Mytilus edulis: one gene and its partner. The protein of the gene in region 2 purifies or fractionates together with the protein of the main gene of each other region. This does not show direct contact. Links are inferred from orthologs where the notes say so. Each region holds a gene or a part of one and is shown on either strand. Other genes may lie near its edges.

Evidence for each region.
Region 1: the proteins of structural maintenance of chromosomes protein 1A-like (region 2) and wings apart-like protein homolog purify together in Homo sapiens (affinity purification with mass spectrometry; 7 studies listed by BioGRID and IntAct, with this or other methods). This does not show direct contact. The link is inferred for Mytilus edulis from reciprocal best matches to the Homo sapiens genes SMC1A and WAPL.

The regions. Positions count from the first base shown.
Region 1 is NC_092352.1:23,026,344-23,034,415, reverse strand, and holds the start of wings apart-like protein homolog, read left to right. Parts: upstream 1-5,003; 5' UTR 5,004-5,143; intron 5,144-7,557; 5' UTR 7,558-7,564; coding exon 7,565-8,072. UniProt on the Homo sapiens protein: Regulator of sister chromatid cohesion in mitosis which negatively regulates cohesin association with chromatin. Involved in both sister chromatid cohesion during interphase and sister-chromatid resolution during early stages of mitosis.
Region 2 is NC_092344.1:98,597,052-98,605,009, forward strand, and holds the start of structural maintenance of chromosomes protein 1A-like, read left to right. Parts: upstream 1-4,935; 5' UTR 4,936-5,121; coding exon 5,122-5,233; intron 5,234-7,500; coding exon 7,501-7,577; intron 7,578-7,958. Other genes in the region: RIB43A-like with coiled-coils protein 2, read right to left, coding at 13-261, 1,314-1,541, 1,916-2,148, 2,352-2,582, 3,325-3,406, 4,561-4,677. UniProt on the Homo sapiens protein: Involved in chromosome cohesion during cell cycle and in DNA repair. Central component of cohesin complex. The cohesin complex is required for the cohesion of sister chromatids after DNA replication.

The DNA.
Region 1 (8,072 bases), on a different chromosome or scaffold from region 2:
AGGCAATTATTACTGACCAAGGACATAAAACAGGGCCATTATAAAAACACCCATTTCTTAATACATTTTTTAACCAACTGAAAAAGTGTATGTGGTGCTGCCAACTTGGTGTACTCTCTTACTCTTTTAATGACAGTTTAGTTTGAAAAAAAAAATTGTACTTCACCATGATCAAGCTTTAAATATCCCAAATATCCAAGATATTAAGTTGAAAGAAACCAATTTATGTGTTGAAAAACGGGATGAACAGTGATCCCTTTATATGGTTCTTTAATGTTTGTTGCTGGTTACTAAATTAAATAAATTACAAACAGGTATTATACTCTTTACAGCTTAATTTTATTAACTTTATTAAAAACCCTAACTGGGCTTAATATAGACAAGCTGGGCATTAATACAGGGCCATTACAGAAAAACAGGGCCATAGCAGAAATAACAGGACCATTGCAGAAAAACAGGGCCATTACAGAAAAACAGGGCCATTACAGAAAAAACAGGGCCATTACAGAAAAACAGGGCCATTACAGAAAATACGTTATTTTCAATAACCAGTCATTTTTGGCAATAATGCACTTAGTTGGTTAATAAAATATAATATTGCACTCTAAATATGCTATGGCAACATTGCACTCACAATATGCTATGACAATATTGCACTTTTGATATGCCACGGCAATATGATATTCTTAAATGCCACAACAATATAACGCTTTTAATTATTATGGCACGACAATATTACACACTTCTTATGCTATAATAATGTCACACTCAATATGTTACGAAAATCGAACTCAATATGCCAAGATAATATTGTACTCTTTCCATTGTAGGTAATGGATCAGCTATATAGCTAAAGATTGAACTTGAATAAACCAAGCATTCAAAGACTCAAAAAGATGATTTTTATAGGATTATTTGGTTAACACCGCATGTCATATATATATATCTCTGTTGTAGGGTTGTCACTGACTCAATTTAGCTGATCTGTAACAATAACATCTTCATGCCTTATATATCATGTACTGCAGTACGCCGCTAGATTAAAACTGACGTGGAAAGGTAACACACGGCCAGCGAAAGCTCTTTTTTGAGAGCCCAGGTGGTCGTGTGGTCTAGCGGGACGGCTGCAGTGCAGGCGATTTGGTGTCACGATATCACAGTAGCATGGGTTCGAATCCCGTCGAGGGAAGAACCAAAAATTTGCGAAAGCAAATTTACAGATCTAACATTGTTGGGTTGATGTTTAGACGAGTTGTATATATATATATATATATATTCATAGGGGAAACAAATTGAAAATATTCCAATAGAAAGGTTCTGCAGAGGTGGTGCAAATTTAACTGTAACATGACAAGAATACAACGAAAGACATGAGCAGCTAGTTTGCAATTGTACATGTAGCAGTTCAGGTTTGAAACTTCAAGAAATCGTGTCACTCTCCCTACACAAGGCAGTGGAATTAAAGCCCAAAATTCCAATTGGAAATAGCTGCTTATTTATATATGCAGCGCATCTAAACGGACGTACCCTGCTAAGCATTTGCAATTCCAGGGTAAACGTACTTCTATTCTTACTCCATTCAACTCTTGGTATCATTTTATGAAGGATATAAATTAACTATTAGATTTTAACTGCCTCATATACCGGAATATATTCAAAAACGTGCCGATGAGAAAAGGAGTTCGGTTTGTTCCCATATCAATACCGATTGTCTATTGAATTACACTTTCATCATAAAAACACATATGGGGTCAATAAAACAAATCAAGCTAGCCTCATTTCAGCTCAGTTCTAATCTTTCGTTTAATTCGAAGTAAAGTTTAACCGTTCCTACAATTAGTCAAGCTATGAGCAATTTAATTCAAAAGATCTAATTAAATTGAATTGCAACTGGATGGTAAGCTAGCAACACTCATTACAACAAATACAATAAATTGAATCGCCTTGGTATTCTCATGACTGTGTGCTCATCTAGAGTTCCGCCGGAGGTCATGATTTCAATTCAGGGACGGGTAAAACATAGACTTGAACATTTGTATGTGTTGATTCTCAGTTAGGCATGTGGCATTTACGGCTAAGAGTTAGGCATGTGACATTTATGAGTAAGAGCAACGATTTGTAGGCTTGGATGCAGAATAATGTGTCTGGGTAGCATGTTTTCCTTAAGATTGTTACCTTGTCCGTCTAGTACAGAGAATGGTTAAAAATAATATCACACTAACATGTTCTCGTCCTGTATATTCAATTAATATGACACTGGACATTTAACAGCATCGTCGTCTATAATTGATGAAAACATTTTTGTTTTGTATCGAGCACATATTCTAAAACTTAATAAGAGAACATGAAGGTTTTCCGCAATTTATTCTCTCTTTCCATAATGTATAAGCAGTTGCTTTCTGGTTGGAAATTGACATGCTGCTCAATGTAAGATATATGGATATATCAATAAATATATATGACCATATAATTATAATGAAAATACATGTATAAAATTTGCAGTGATGTGAGTTTTATTTGCTCCGTGTTGAGGGCCTCACTGTGACTTTGAGATGAAGAACGGCAATAAAAGCGCTGTTCCTTTGCTTTTTGTGTGTTTTGTTGTTGTTGTTGTTGTTGTTGTTGTGGTTGTGCATTAACTGATTTTGTGTTATGGATGGATACACAATATCCTTTGTTTTTCCATTATTTAGATCATTATAATACCTCTCTGTCGTGACTGGGCGTGAGGATGGCATATTAGTACGACAGGTACATATAAAATCAAAATGTAGAGATATGTTCTACGTTCAAACTTTGTACTTTGTACGTTTTTGTTTAAAATAGTGTATTATCAGTGATTTTGTGGTGCTTTTCATGGGCCCATTCAATAGAAAATAAACTTATCCAAGTTCTACCTCGCCATCGTGATACAATGAATAGTTAGGGTTTTCTATATATATGATATACCCGGTATGTATGAAATATACAACAGCTGAATGATTAGCTTGAAGTCGTCTATAGCTCTCACGGATGCGGCCAACCTATTTAGTCCTGCTGAGATCCATATTGTGTGGATAGTTTCAAGAGTCCTCTGTCTTTAGCGCAAAAATCTGTTGAGGTCCATAATGTGGGGAGCATTTCACGAGTTCTCGGTCGTTAGAGCAAACATCTACTGAGGTCCATAATGTGGGGAGCATTTCACGAGTCCTCGGTCGTTAGAGGAAACATCTACTGAGGTCAATGTGGGGAGCATTTCACGAGTCCTCGGTCGTTAGAGCAAACATCTACTGAGGTCAATGTGGGGAGCATTTCACGAGTCCTCGGTCGTTAGAGCAAACATCTACTGAGGTCAATGTGGGGAGCATTTCACGAGTCCTCGGTCGTTAGAGCAAACATCTACCGAGGTCAATGTGGGGAGCATTTCACGAGTCCTCGGTCGTTAGAGCAAACATCTACTGAGATCCTTAATGTGGGGAGCATTTCACTCGTTAGGGCAAACATCTACTGAGGTCCATAATGTGGGGAGCATTTCACGAGTCCTCGGTCGTTAGAGCAAACTTCTACTGAGGTCAATGTGGGGAGCATTTCACGAGTCCTCGGTCGTTAGAGCAAACATCTAACGAGGTCAATGTGGGGAGCATTTCACGAGTCCTCGGTCGTTAGACAAAACATCTACTGAGGTCAATAATGTGGGGAGCATTTCACTCGTTAGAGCAAACATCTACTGAGGTCCATAATATGGGGAGCATTTCACTCGTTAGAGCAAACATCTACTGAGGTCCATAATATGGGGAGCATTTCACGAGTCCTCGGTCGTTAGAGCAAACATCTACTGAGGTCAATGTGGGGAGCATTTCACGAGTCCTCGGTCGTTAGAGCAAACATCTACCGAGGTCAATGTGGGGAGCATTTCACGAGTCCTCGGTCGTTAGAGCAAACATCTACTGAGATCCTTAATGTGGGGAGCATTTCACTCGTTAGGGCAAACATCTACTGAGGTCCATAATGTGGGGAGCATTTCACGAGTCCTCGGTCGTTAGAGCATACATCTACTGAGGTCAATGTGGGGAGCATTTCACGAGTCCTCGGTCGTTAGAGCAAACATCTACCGAGGTCAATGTGGGGAGCATTTCACGAGTCCTCGGTCGTTAGACAAAACATCTACTGAGATCCTTAATGTGGGGAGCATTTCACTCGTTAGGGCAAACATCTACTGAGGTCCATAATGTGGGGAGCATTTCACGAGTCCTCGGTCGTTAGAGCAAACATCTACTGAGGTCAATGTGGGGAGCATTTCACGAGTCCTCGGTCGTTAGAGCAAACATCTACTGAGGTCAATGTGGGGAGCATTTCACGAGTCCTCGGTCGTTAGAGCAAACATCTACTGAGGTCCATAATGTGGGGAGCATTTCACGAGTCCTCGGTCGTTAGAGCAAACATCTACTGAGGTCCATAATGTGGGGATCATTTCACGAGTCATCCATGACTTTTATTTTGTCTTATAAAACACATTTCGATCTTCTCTTGTGCCCGCCTGAGGTGTTGCTTATTGGCCATGATTGACATTTAAAAGTAATTTATACATGTAGATAAAATAATTAGCCGCACTTGCCGTAACTTGGTAGATCTTAAAACTAAGTTACACTAAAAGGATAGCAGGAATTATCAAAAATTTAAGCCGAAACAATAGACCAAGCTGTATGTGTTATTACATCATAATGCCAACAAAAACATTTTATGTCAACGAATATTTACAGATAACATATTTTACATGTGACTCTTTCTTTTAAAGGACAAATATCTATAAAAAAAATATTTCCATTCCATGGATAAAATTTAATATATAACCAATTCATGAGTATGTTGTTCTAAATGTTGCTTTAATTATTTACAGTAGTGCTTTTAATCATTATTTAATAATGTGCAGGTGATTGGGGAAAAAATGGGTCAAAGGGAAATAACACTTACTGATTAGTTGAACTATTTTTAAAGTTATTTCCCCTTTGATTTACGAAACAATGCCTGTAAAATCTGTCCTGAAAGACAAGTGCGATGAGAGTGCGCCTGCGTACAACTGTTATTGTTAGAATTTTCAAAATGGCGCTGTACAGGCGATAGCTGCCGATTGTGTTTGTATATCATGCAGATTTGTTTTTAACAGGTGAATTGAAAATGGGAGTTTTTCATTACAATATTATGCATTTACGCAACATTTTACTCAAAGAATTTGGCGCGACACGTTCTCAGATGGACGAATGAACGCAATCTTTCTCTTGTACGAGTTATCTTACCTCCTCAAAATGATCAATCTTTTTTCGCCTTTTCTGATAGATATGCACATTGATTTACGTCTAGCTTAGAGTTATTTTTTTGAGATATTAAACTACTTTCTGTGAAAAACAAATAATTGACGATTATATTGTTCCTCGTAGCTACATCAGGATCAACTAAGATCTTGTTGTATTGCGTATAAATTATAATTTATACTTTTCAAATCGAGATCATGGCAGATGACTTGGCATGTTGTTTGTGCATACTTCATACTTTAAAAAAATCTTTGCTTTTACCTTTACTACAACAACTATTTAGGTATTTTGTCAAGATGAATGTTAGCCTGGCATCCGGCCCAATCTAGCTGCGCCTCGTATACTGACAAGATTAGCCAGGACCCCAGGCTAGATGAATGTGGACTAGTCTACAGCTGTTCATATTCAAGTTTGGATATTATCACCACTTAGCTTTAAACATATTTATTTATAGTGGATTGGGAAACAAATTATATACTGCAAATACCTATTTGTTCGCTATTACTGTACATCTCAAAGGTTCCATTAAAATTTTGATGTAATAAATACAAATTATCTGACGCCCACAATGGAAAAGTGATTGTGGTAGGATGTCAATAGTTTAGAAGGGTCCGATTATCTGGTCAAGCAGGACAGATTTCTAAATAGCAATAAGGTGTATTGGTATTATACCCCTAAAAGAATCTGAGTCTGTTCGCGCCCATTCACGTTCGCACCCTATCACGTCCGCTCCCTTTCACTTTCACACCCTACACGTTCGCGCCAGATTTTTATTGGTTTTGTGTTTAATAACTTTATAATTAAGTTTTGGCAAGTCAGTGTATTCCTATAAGTATATTTGTTGTCATTGTCCTAAATTAAATTAAGACGTGTTTGTTGTGTTGAATAAATCGTAATCTTTTTTTGGTTAAGTGTATTGCTAACTTTTATTTCATTGTTTCAAAATAAATTGAGACTATAACAAGGTATTTGTGTTGAATAAATTTTAAGCATGTTTTGGTTAGTGCATTGCTATGATTTTTTTGTTTCATTGTTTCAGATCAAAGGAGCCAAGCTGTTAAAATCTTTTAGTGTTTTTCATTTAAAATCTTCAATGTTTTTACTCATACCAAGCTAAATACATGCAGTATTTACATCATTAAATTCTATTTTCAATTGTTGGGTATAATTTTCAATAATGACCCATAGACAAGGTGAATATCTAAAACTGTTAACACAAGAAGTTTAAGTATAATAATTTTGAAGGGTTGACAATTTTGACATTCATCGCTTCTAAGGGGCCACAATTGTTTTATTATACCAAACTAACAGTGGAAGGGTATTTTGAATCACTAAGAGCACTTTACTTACTTTAGTCAGTAGACATACAAAGTTTATGTTCAAAAATACATTAGTGTCTTAGAATTCTTGTTTGTACAACCAATGATTTGTATAGTATAAACAAGCCAAAGGACCATTTATGAGAGATATCATCGGCACAAGATGATCTTCCAAATTCTTATTTCTTATTCTCTTGATCGATGGTCTTCCAGTAACGTGAACTTTGCACTTTTGTTTAATTACGTCTGTGACATCTCTTTCATGGGAGATAACTTATGTAATAATCAAGAAACCAAAAAGGTTACTTGCCAGTGATTAATAGGGTTATTCTCAGCTGTTATAAATTTTTAGGCATATTTGTCCTTCCTTGCAATTAAATGAAAATTAGCTGAATTATTCCATGTCACGTGATAACATGTTACCCACTAGAATTCTATGTATAAATTAAATATATGTAAAGTATAATAAATGAATACAATTTTTACCCCAAAATGGGGATAGTACCCATTTATGAGAATTTTCCCCAATCAGATAATTGTTTGTTTCCTGTGTTACTTTTTAATTATGCTAAATTCTTTTCAGTACATGTACGTTATTTTTCAACTTGATAATTTCAAAGAAATGTGTGGACATGAATGTGGCAGCAAATGCTCATGAAGTCTATCCTTATTCTTTGTGAAAAGTCGTATTTCCCATGTTTTGTGTGTGTTCTGTTGAAATGTTTGGTATTTTTATTAACTATATATATACTTGAACTTAGGGATTATAGTGGATAATGAAGAACTGAATCTGTTATGCAAAAAAGTAAACTTCTGTATGAATATTTTACTGAAAAACTAAAAAAAACAATAATTAGTTTCAATCTGAATTTGATTTTTAATGATTAATTTTTCAGACTTGAATGAACTTTGAAATTCAATATTCATGCTTTTATATACTTATATTTTAGATACAACATGGCTACCAAATCTGCTGTTAAAACCTATGGGAAGGCCAACAGAGAAGCTGCTCAGAGTAAAGCATTTGATGATGCTCTTAAACCAAATTCAGCAGCGAACAGGTCAACATCACAGACCAAGTGGGGCAAGACTTCATTCAGTCGTTTAAGAGAAGATGATCCATTTGAAGTCACATGTAAAAAAGTCAAAATAGAGACAGAATCTGCAGATCCTTTCTCTTTTGATTTTGAAGATGGTGAGACAGTGAAAAAAGAAGTTGTTCAGGCCCCTGTTTTACCACCCCCTCCAACTTCAAACTCAGGGAGTGGATTAGGACGTCCTGCTATCCCTAATCTAAAGGTATCACATAAAGGACAAGAGCAAATTGTAGATAATTCTGAGAATATAGAGGAAAGAACAGAAGAGGAGGAAGATGAAATTCCTTTGTCTAATTTTTCTAGACGACCTGTACGTACATATTCACGTAGGAAAAAAGGGGGCGATGATGACCAAGAATCAGGTGATC
Region 2 (7,958 bases):
GTTGTGTCCAGATTATCGTGTGCTTGTGTTAAACTGCATGAAATAAGAGGCTGTTGGTGGGTTGGTGTACACTTCTTTCTCCAAATACTGTTTGTGTGATTCCTGTTCAAGACCTAAACGTCTGTTTTCATCGGCCATTTCTCTGTTGATGTCTTTGTGTTTCCTGTCCATCTCTCTCTCTAACAACATACCAGCTCGGGCATTGGCATTAGCTTGTCTTGCATGTTCAATTTCTCTTAGTTCATCTTCCTGGTCTCTTCGCTATAAACAAAAGAAAATTGGAGGAAAAATTACTAATTTTAAACAATACTAAATTTTCAATATCAACCTGACAAAAAAATTGTTTGCATGAGTATTCAATTCAAAGCTTTTTTTTTCCATATTAGACCTATTGACAACATACATAACTGATAAGTTAAGGATACCAATTCCTCTTTATAGTATGTTACTTGTATATACTGAGTATATGGTCTCTCTATCTGAAGTTATTCTTAAAAATAATATCAATACTATAATATGTACATGTATTAATGTAATAAGAAACTTGAAATAAAATAAAAGTAAAACAATCAATTTTGAACTGAGAGCCTCTATTGGCTTATGGTCTAGTAGGATGTTGAAAGGAGCTTGTTTGTTGGATTTATTGATTGATAAGTGATTGTTGTGTGCTGCATCAAAGTTGTAAATATATTGATGCTAGTTTGTTAGGTTTGGTAAGAAACATGTGTTTATGCTATTTAAAGAAAGGTCTGTTTGATTGGATATATAAAGTATGCGGAAGAATTTCATGCACGGGGGGTTTGATAGTAGTTAAAGTCATTCGAGTCATTGCAGTCAAGTGCTCTAGATGCTTTTTTCCAAATAAATAATTATAAAAATTATTTAGTAACAGGTTGATAGTCCAAGAGGAGTCGCAAATATTGATGTGGCAGTGCCAGTTTGAGACAGACAATTCTCATTGATATAAAAAGAATTACGTGTACTTATTACCCGAATAAAAATGCACTTGACTTTTGCTAGTGACTACTCCCATGTGAGAGTTTTGAATTATATTGATAAATGTTTTATGTTCGATTGAGGTTACAAATTAGAACACAAAAAATCTATATCACGACCAGAGCTATTTCAAATATAATAACAAGAAGTGTTTCTATTAAATAAGACAAAAAATTAACTAAGTAACTAAATCATTATTTTAAAGTGAAATATACATGTTTATTTTTAAACTTAATGTGCAAAATTAGAGGAAAGAGTTTTGATCCTTTGCCAATCATAATTAAAAATTGCTTTTAGTGGTAATGTTTATCACAAACCTGTTTCTCTAGCCTTTGTTTTTCTTGTTCCTTTCGTATAGCCTCTAACTGTTGTGGACTCATTCCCTTCCATCTGTCTGGGATGACACGATGAGGACCAAATGCACTTTGAGCAACAGCAGGGTTCTCTGTTAAAGTATCACCAAATATGTGATTGGCGATTTCTGTCATGTTATCATCAAATTCTTGCTGTTTCTTTAGTCTCTCACGTTCATTTCTTTCTCTTGCCTAAACAATGTAATATATTAATTAATATTTTTGTCATAATAAATAAAAATTAAATGTTTGGTGAATCTATCCAGAAATACTTACTTCATAGGACAAATACATACATTTCAGGGGAGATAACTTCTACCACTATTGTTTAATTTTTATGATAATAATATGTAACAATGAAAACAAGTAAAAAGTTGGTACTGTAAATAGATGTTTACTGAATCCCACAATGACATTTATTCATACTGTAGATAATACTTATTTCCTTTTACAATTAAAGCTGAATGATCAAGAACTGAAAACCTCTAAAAATTATATAAATGATCAAATATTTGTTTCTTTGTCAGTACATTGTACCAAGACCCAATTCATCATATACTACTTACTAGTGCATTATTGTAATCTGTGGTGGCCATATTTATTGCCCGTTTACAATCATCTTCAGCTTTTTCAAGTTCCATTCCTCGTTGATCTAATTCCCTCATTTTCAGTTGATATAAACGATCTGCCTCATCTTGATTACGTCTAGCTTGATCTTTTTCATTGGCTTGTTGTGTTGACCATTCTCTTAATTGTTCTTGTTGGAATTTTGTTCTTGCCTTATTATTAAGATCTTCACCTGTATTGAGAAAAGGATAAACATGTAGAAATGTATGTACAGTTTAAAGCACTTAATTTTGATTACTGTCTATTTTGTTTCAAAACACACTAAGATCAATGAGAAAGAATGTGAATATTCTAAACTATTCTAGAGACTTTCAACTAAACTTGATACCTAAACCTTTACAGTAAAAATATTGAATGTAAAAAAGCAGTCTTTACCTTCAAATTTTTGAATACTTGAAATACCACATCTTGGATCATCGTCACTGACACGACCAGGTTTGTCCTTCTTCAAATAATCAGGGTCATATAAATCAAACTCTCTACGACCATCTGGCTGTTGGTGTAAAGATCGGAAATCATTTAATGCCTGATTTAATGCTCTCACATCTTGCGCCTGTCTTTTCTCTAACATCTCAGAAATTTTGTCATTTCTAACAGCATCAGCAGCTGAAAATAAAATGATATAATTACAGCATTTAAAGAGACTCCAAATATTCTTACATCTATTGTTCCACATTGTTTGGCTCTGTCATATAATGGTGAGTCTTTACCACGATGAGAACTTCTAATATTGTTGTCTTTAAATGTGTTTATAATTATTTTTTTTCCTTAAAAGAACTAGGTGGCAGAAATTTAGCCATCTCTTCTAAATTTAATTCTTTCCATATCTTATTCATACAGGTATAACATAAGCTAATTTAGAGCTTGGTATGATAAGAGCCAATTTATAGCATATAATCAAGCCACTTGTATATTTTTTGAAGAAAATATTATGTTGACTGCAAGATATCTTTTGAATGTTTAATGTGTTTTCTTAGTCTTCTTAGTGCATTCTCTAGATACATGACACATTCCCCATTTCCATTCTCAATTTTATATATTTCCTTTTATACATGTACATGTCAATAAGGTTAAAATGATATCATTTTGAATGTGAATTCAATATTCTTAATATTATAAAAAGAACTTTACTTTTCTGATCCATGTATCAATTGTGTGAAATAAAATATCTGCATGTAAAACTATTACCTTATATATCATTTGTTACTTGTAAGTTGTAATAGTGTAAAAGAGTATTCTTCACATTCTAAATGATTCTTAAGCATCTGTAAAACATGCTGAAGTTGCTTAGTTCATACATTTGTGAGTAACTTTTTAACAATAAAAATATCTTTTAAAGAAAAATTACCGAAAGCTTCACTTCTTTTCCGTTCATAATCCTCCTGTTCCTTTTTGTCTCTAACTTGTTGTTCAATAGCTTGTAAGTCTACCTAAAATTAAATAAAAAGTTGAAAACATTTTAATAACAATGGTGACTATTATACATCTACTAAGGTGACAGTTTATTAATGTTCAATTTTGTTTGTTCTTGAGTCAATGTACATTGAAAGTGATTGCCTTCTTCAAAAAATTAAACAATTGCAGATCTGCTCTCTTAGACCAAATTGTTTTTTAATGAATGAGTTACCATTGTGTACATAGTGTAAATGATATCAGTGAATAATGAGTTCTTACTGTCACAGAGAAAAAAATGAATTTGAAAGTCAATCTTTTAATTGTTTCACCTCATGATCGATATTTTAGCTATTTGTATTTTAGCAAACTCTTTAGCTAGTTGCACAATTCATATAAATGAGGATATATTTTCTGCAAACTTGTAAAACTAATAACCATCCCAAGCTCAACAGGTAGCAGATCTAGAAGCCTTACAAAGATAATGTTAACCCTAGTAGGAGATTCAGACTTAACATTTTAAGATGCATGCATAATTTCTACGCTTCATATTACTCATTCTGAAGAGCCAAGGGGAAACAAATATCAATAAAGATAAATTATAGATCATAATATATTGTATTCAAGTATTCTACTAGGTAAAACAAAGGGAAACTTATAAATGGTTGCGTCAACACTAATATTCAGCAAATTTTCAACAAAATTTAACATATTCTGTTCAAATAATAAACATAACGCAACTAGACAACAATAAGAAAGAAAAAAAATGGACTCAGGGCGAACAGGTATCAGGGCAAACAGAAACTAGGGAGAACGTGAATCAGGGCGAACAAACCCGGATTAAGGAAGAATACTGCTTTCGAATTTTGTTATATACTTTTTCAGTGGTAGTGGTAGGTGTACTGAAGTGGATAGAGACCTACAAATTGGTACCATTGGCGAATCCGGGGGGGGGGGGGGGGGGGGGGGGGGGGGTTCTGGGGGTTGGAACCCCCCTTTTTTTTTGGACGATCAATGCATTTGAATGAGGACATATAGTTGGATCCCCCCCCCTTTTGTCCTGGGTTGGGCACCCCCCTTTTTAAAATGGCTGGATACGCCCCTGGGTACAATGGTGATACAACGTAGATGTGGGAAAGTAAACCTTAACTTTTGCATAATGCATAATGCAAATGAATGAGGATATTCTTACCCCAATAGTTCTGCATTTAGAATTAAAGATTCTTGACTTTCTTTGATCTTCCATCAACCTACGGCGCTCAATTGCAGCCGCTTCCTTGTAATCTACTGGAAGATCGAGTTTGTACATTTTGAAAACAAGTTAAAGATAAACACTGGAAGAAATCCGACAGCTTCACTGATTATCTCGTTGCTAAGTTTACACGGTTGTTATCCGGAAGTTGACTGCGTATCTACAAAACATATGAATACATGACTGATCATTTACAAAAACAATATGCATATAAATATGTCAATATACATTAACCAAATAATATGTGATGATATATTTTAACCTTTTTAACTACAATGACATTTTCAACAAATTATTTCTGAGGATTTTTTCACCGCCGATTAGTCTCGCACTAATCTCGGTAAAAACGAGAACAATGGGAAGCGACGTCTGTTGGCGCTAAAAATTTGCATTCATAATGTAAACCAAAATATTTACATTTTCTTTTAACGTAGAAGTTAAAATCGTGATCTCTTCCAACCACCCACCTCACAACTTACAACAAATATCTTCTAGTTCAAAATGCCAGGTCACTTGAAATACATCGAGGTGGAAAACTTCAAATCATATCGTGGTAAACAAAAGATTGGACCCTTCAACAAATTTACTGCTGTAATTGGTCCAAATGGTTCAGGTAAATTATACTTTATTGATAAAAGGTAGCACACAAAACCATATACAAAATCAAGCGTCTTAGTTGAAAAAAGCATTATTTTTAAGTCCTTCAAATAAAGCACAGAACGTTTTTGGTTGGCAATATTATGGTGCCAATCACAGGGGAGGTAATCCCTTTGGGAATTTATGAGGCTGAATGCGCCACCATCAAGACCACTTGAAATACATCTGGATGATCAGACCATTTTCTATACCCGTGAATTGTTGACCGCTCTACAAATAACACAAATAATTGTTGGATTCAGCATCGTTGAACAATCACAATGTCAATGATCAGTTATTAATGCGCAGTGGCGGATCAAGGGGTAGGGTACTGGGGATTGGAACCCCCCTATTTTTTTGGACGATTAATGCATTTGAATGGGGACATATAGTAAGAACCCCCCTTTGTTCCTGGTTGAGAACCCTCCCTTTTTAAAATGGCTGGATCCGATCCTGCTGCGATACATCGAATGACCGAATAACACTGGTATTATCCTAATATTTTGATATAAGCACATATTGGTAACTATTAAACATTGATTATCAAATAATCAATGTTTAAAAGACACCAACTGTGGCAACATGTGTTAATAATATGAGGCAGGCATAACCTGTGAATGGGGACGAAGTCTCTATGTATTATTTTTTTTATTCAATCACGTTGATAAAAGAAACCGAAATACCGTACGTAACGTTCCTGATTTTGATTCTGTTGTTAGGGAATTAGCTGTGACGTTCTTTAAGTTATGACGTCATATTCGATGTAAACAAAAGAAACGCTTTCATCAGGTAATGTTTTTTCATATCAAACAATTATTAAAATTGAATTTGTATTGAGATCCAATCTTAATATATTTTACTAGACTGATAAATATAAATTTTTTCAAAGTCTCATGCAAACAAGACAGATATCTGCGCAAAAGCAGAGAAAACCGGAACAGGAAGTAGATCTGAAAAAAAAAGTTAACGATTTTGAGTTCATTAGTAGAATGGAAAATTCGGGAATTTTTTTTTTTTTTTTATTGATTTTTCTACCGTAATTGGGGACTTCGTCCCCTTATTAAAATTTCAAGTGTTATTTGGTCATTACAAGTGTTATTCAGTCAATCATGTTACCTGTTATTACTGTGTCGTGTGATAATGACGATTAATGTAATAATTTAAGCACATGTGACATTAGAAATTTAAGCAAAAATGCAGGAACTAAGTAGCCGTCTTTTTAAGAATGAACATGATGAACTTAGCCTATGATCAAAATGACAATATTTGTATGTCATTATATGACTATTATACATATTGGTAAAGAAAACCTTTTGACATAGTTCATGTAGTTCAAAGATCTTCACTTTATTTTAAAACAATAAATTAAAAAACTATTACTTTACAGCAAAACGCTTAACTGAAGCAACATTTGAAAAATTATTGAAATTAAATTTTAAAAAAGAAGGGATAAAAAAAGACATTCTAAATACAAAAAAAACAAACTATATGAGATTCAAACACACTTACTACATGTGGCTGCATCATGTAAACTTGCCAATTACTTTGTTAAATTAGCTCAAAGGCCCATTCTCCAGAATTGTTTCAGATACAGACTATATTCAATTAAGTTGATTCAAATGACAAATTCTTGTTATTGATTTGATATCATATCACTGACCTCGGGCCATGCAGAATGAAGATTCTTAAAAACTCATAGTAATAAGCTTTTAAAAGGCTGACAAGGAAAAAATTACTTTTCTGCACAAATAACTAAAATTACCTTGTAAAGTAACTGCATGTGAATGACATCAATTGAATCTCTTTTTAAATGCAATACCACTTATTACCTGTCTCTACATGTGAAAAAATAGAACCTGAATGTAAAGTTTTTCTACTAAAACAATTGAAATATATGATGACATCAGGAATTGACACACATTTATGTACCTTAAAGATAGACTTAATTAATTAGGCAGATATGTGAACACTATTCACATTGATAATGCAAACTAATTGGATATATTGACACTAATTGGGAACATTTTCTCAATTCTTAAAACAAAACAAGAATAAACAAACGTACATGCATTTAACATGTTATCTTTTTTTGTAGCTGTTATATTCATTATTTTGTAGCTGTAATATTCATTTTTTTTAACATTTGTACATCTTTATGCCCGAACTGACATCTTTGTGATATGCATGACCTTCAGATATCTGAAATTTTAACTTAATAAAATGTATATTAAAATTTCTTTTTAGGAAAATCTAACTTGATGGACGCCATAAGTTTTGTCCTTGGAGAAAAGACATCAAACTTGCGTGTAAAAAGATTAAGTGTGAGTCTCAAATACATCACATTTAAAATGTTTTTAATTGAGAAAAAATTTACATGGGTACATTGAAGACCCAATGGTGGCCTTCAGCTGTTGTCTTCTCTATGGTCGGGTTATTGTCTCTTTCATTAGATAGATAGTTTCCTTAAGACAGATTGTTTTTTACTATTAAATAAGGCCACCCTTAAAAAATTGTTTGTTTGGCATTGCCGACCCACACTATCAGCAGGTGGGTAGGTAGGTAGGGAATTTTTTTTTTTTTTTACATTTAAAAGCTTTATACATGTAAATCATGAAGTCTCTAGACCAATGTTGTCTAAAGCATTGCAGCATTGTTGTGTGTACATGCTGGTGGTTTCTTTGAACGGGGTCAACCGTCAATGT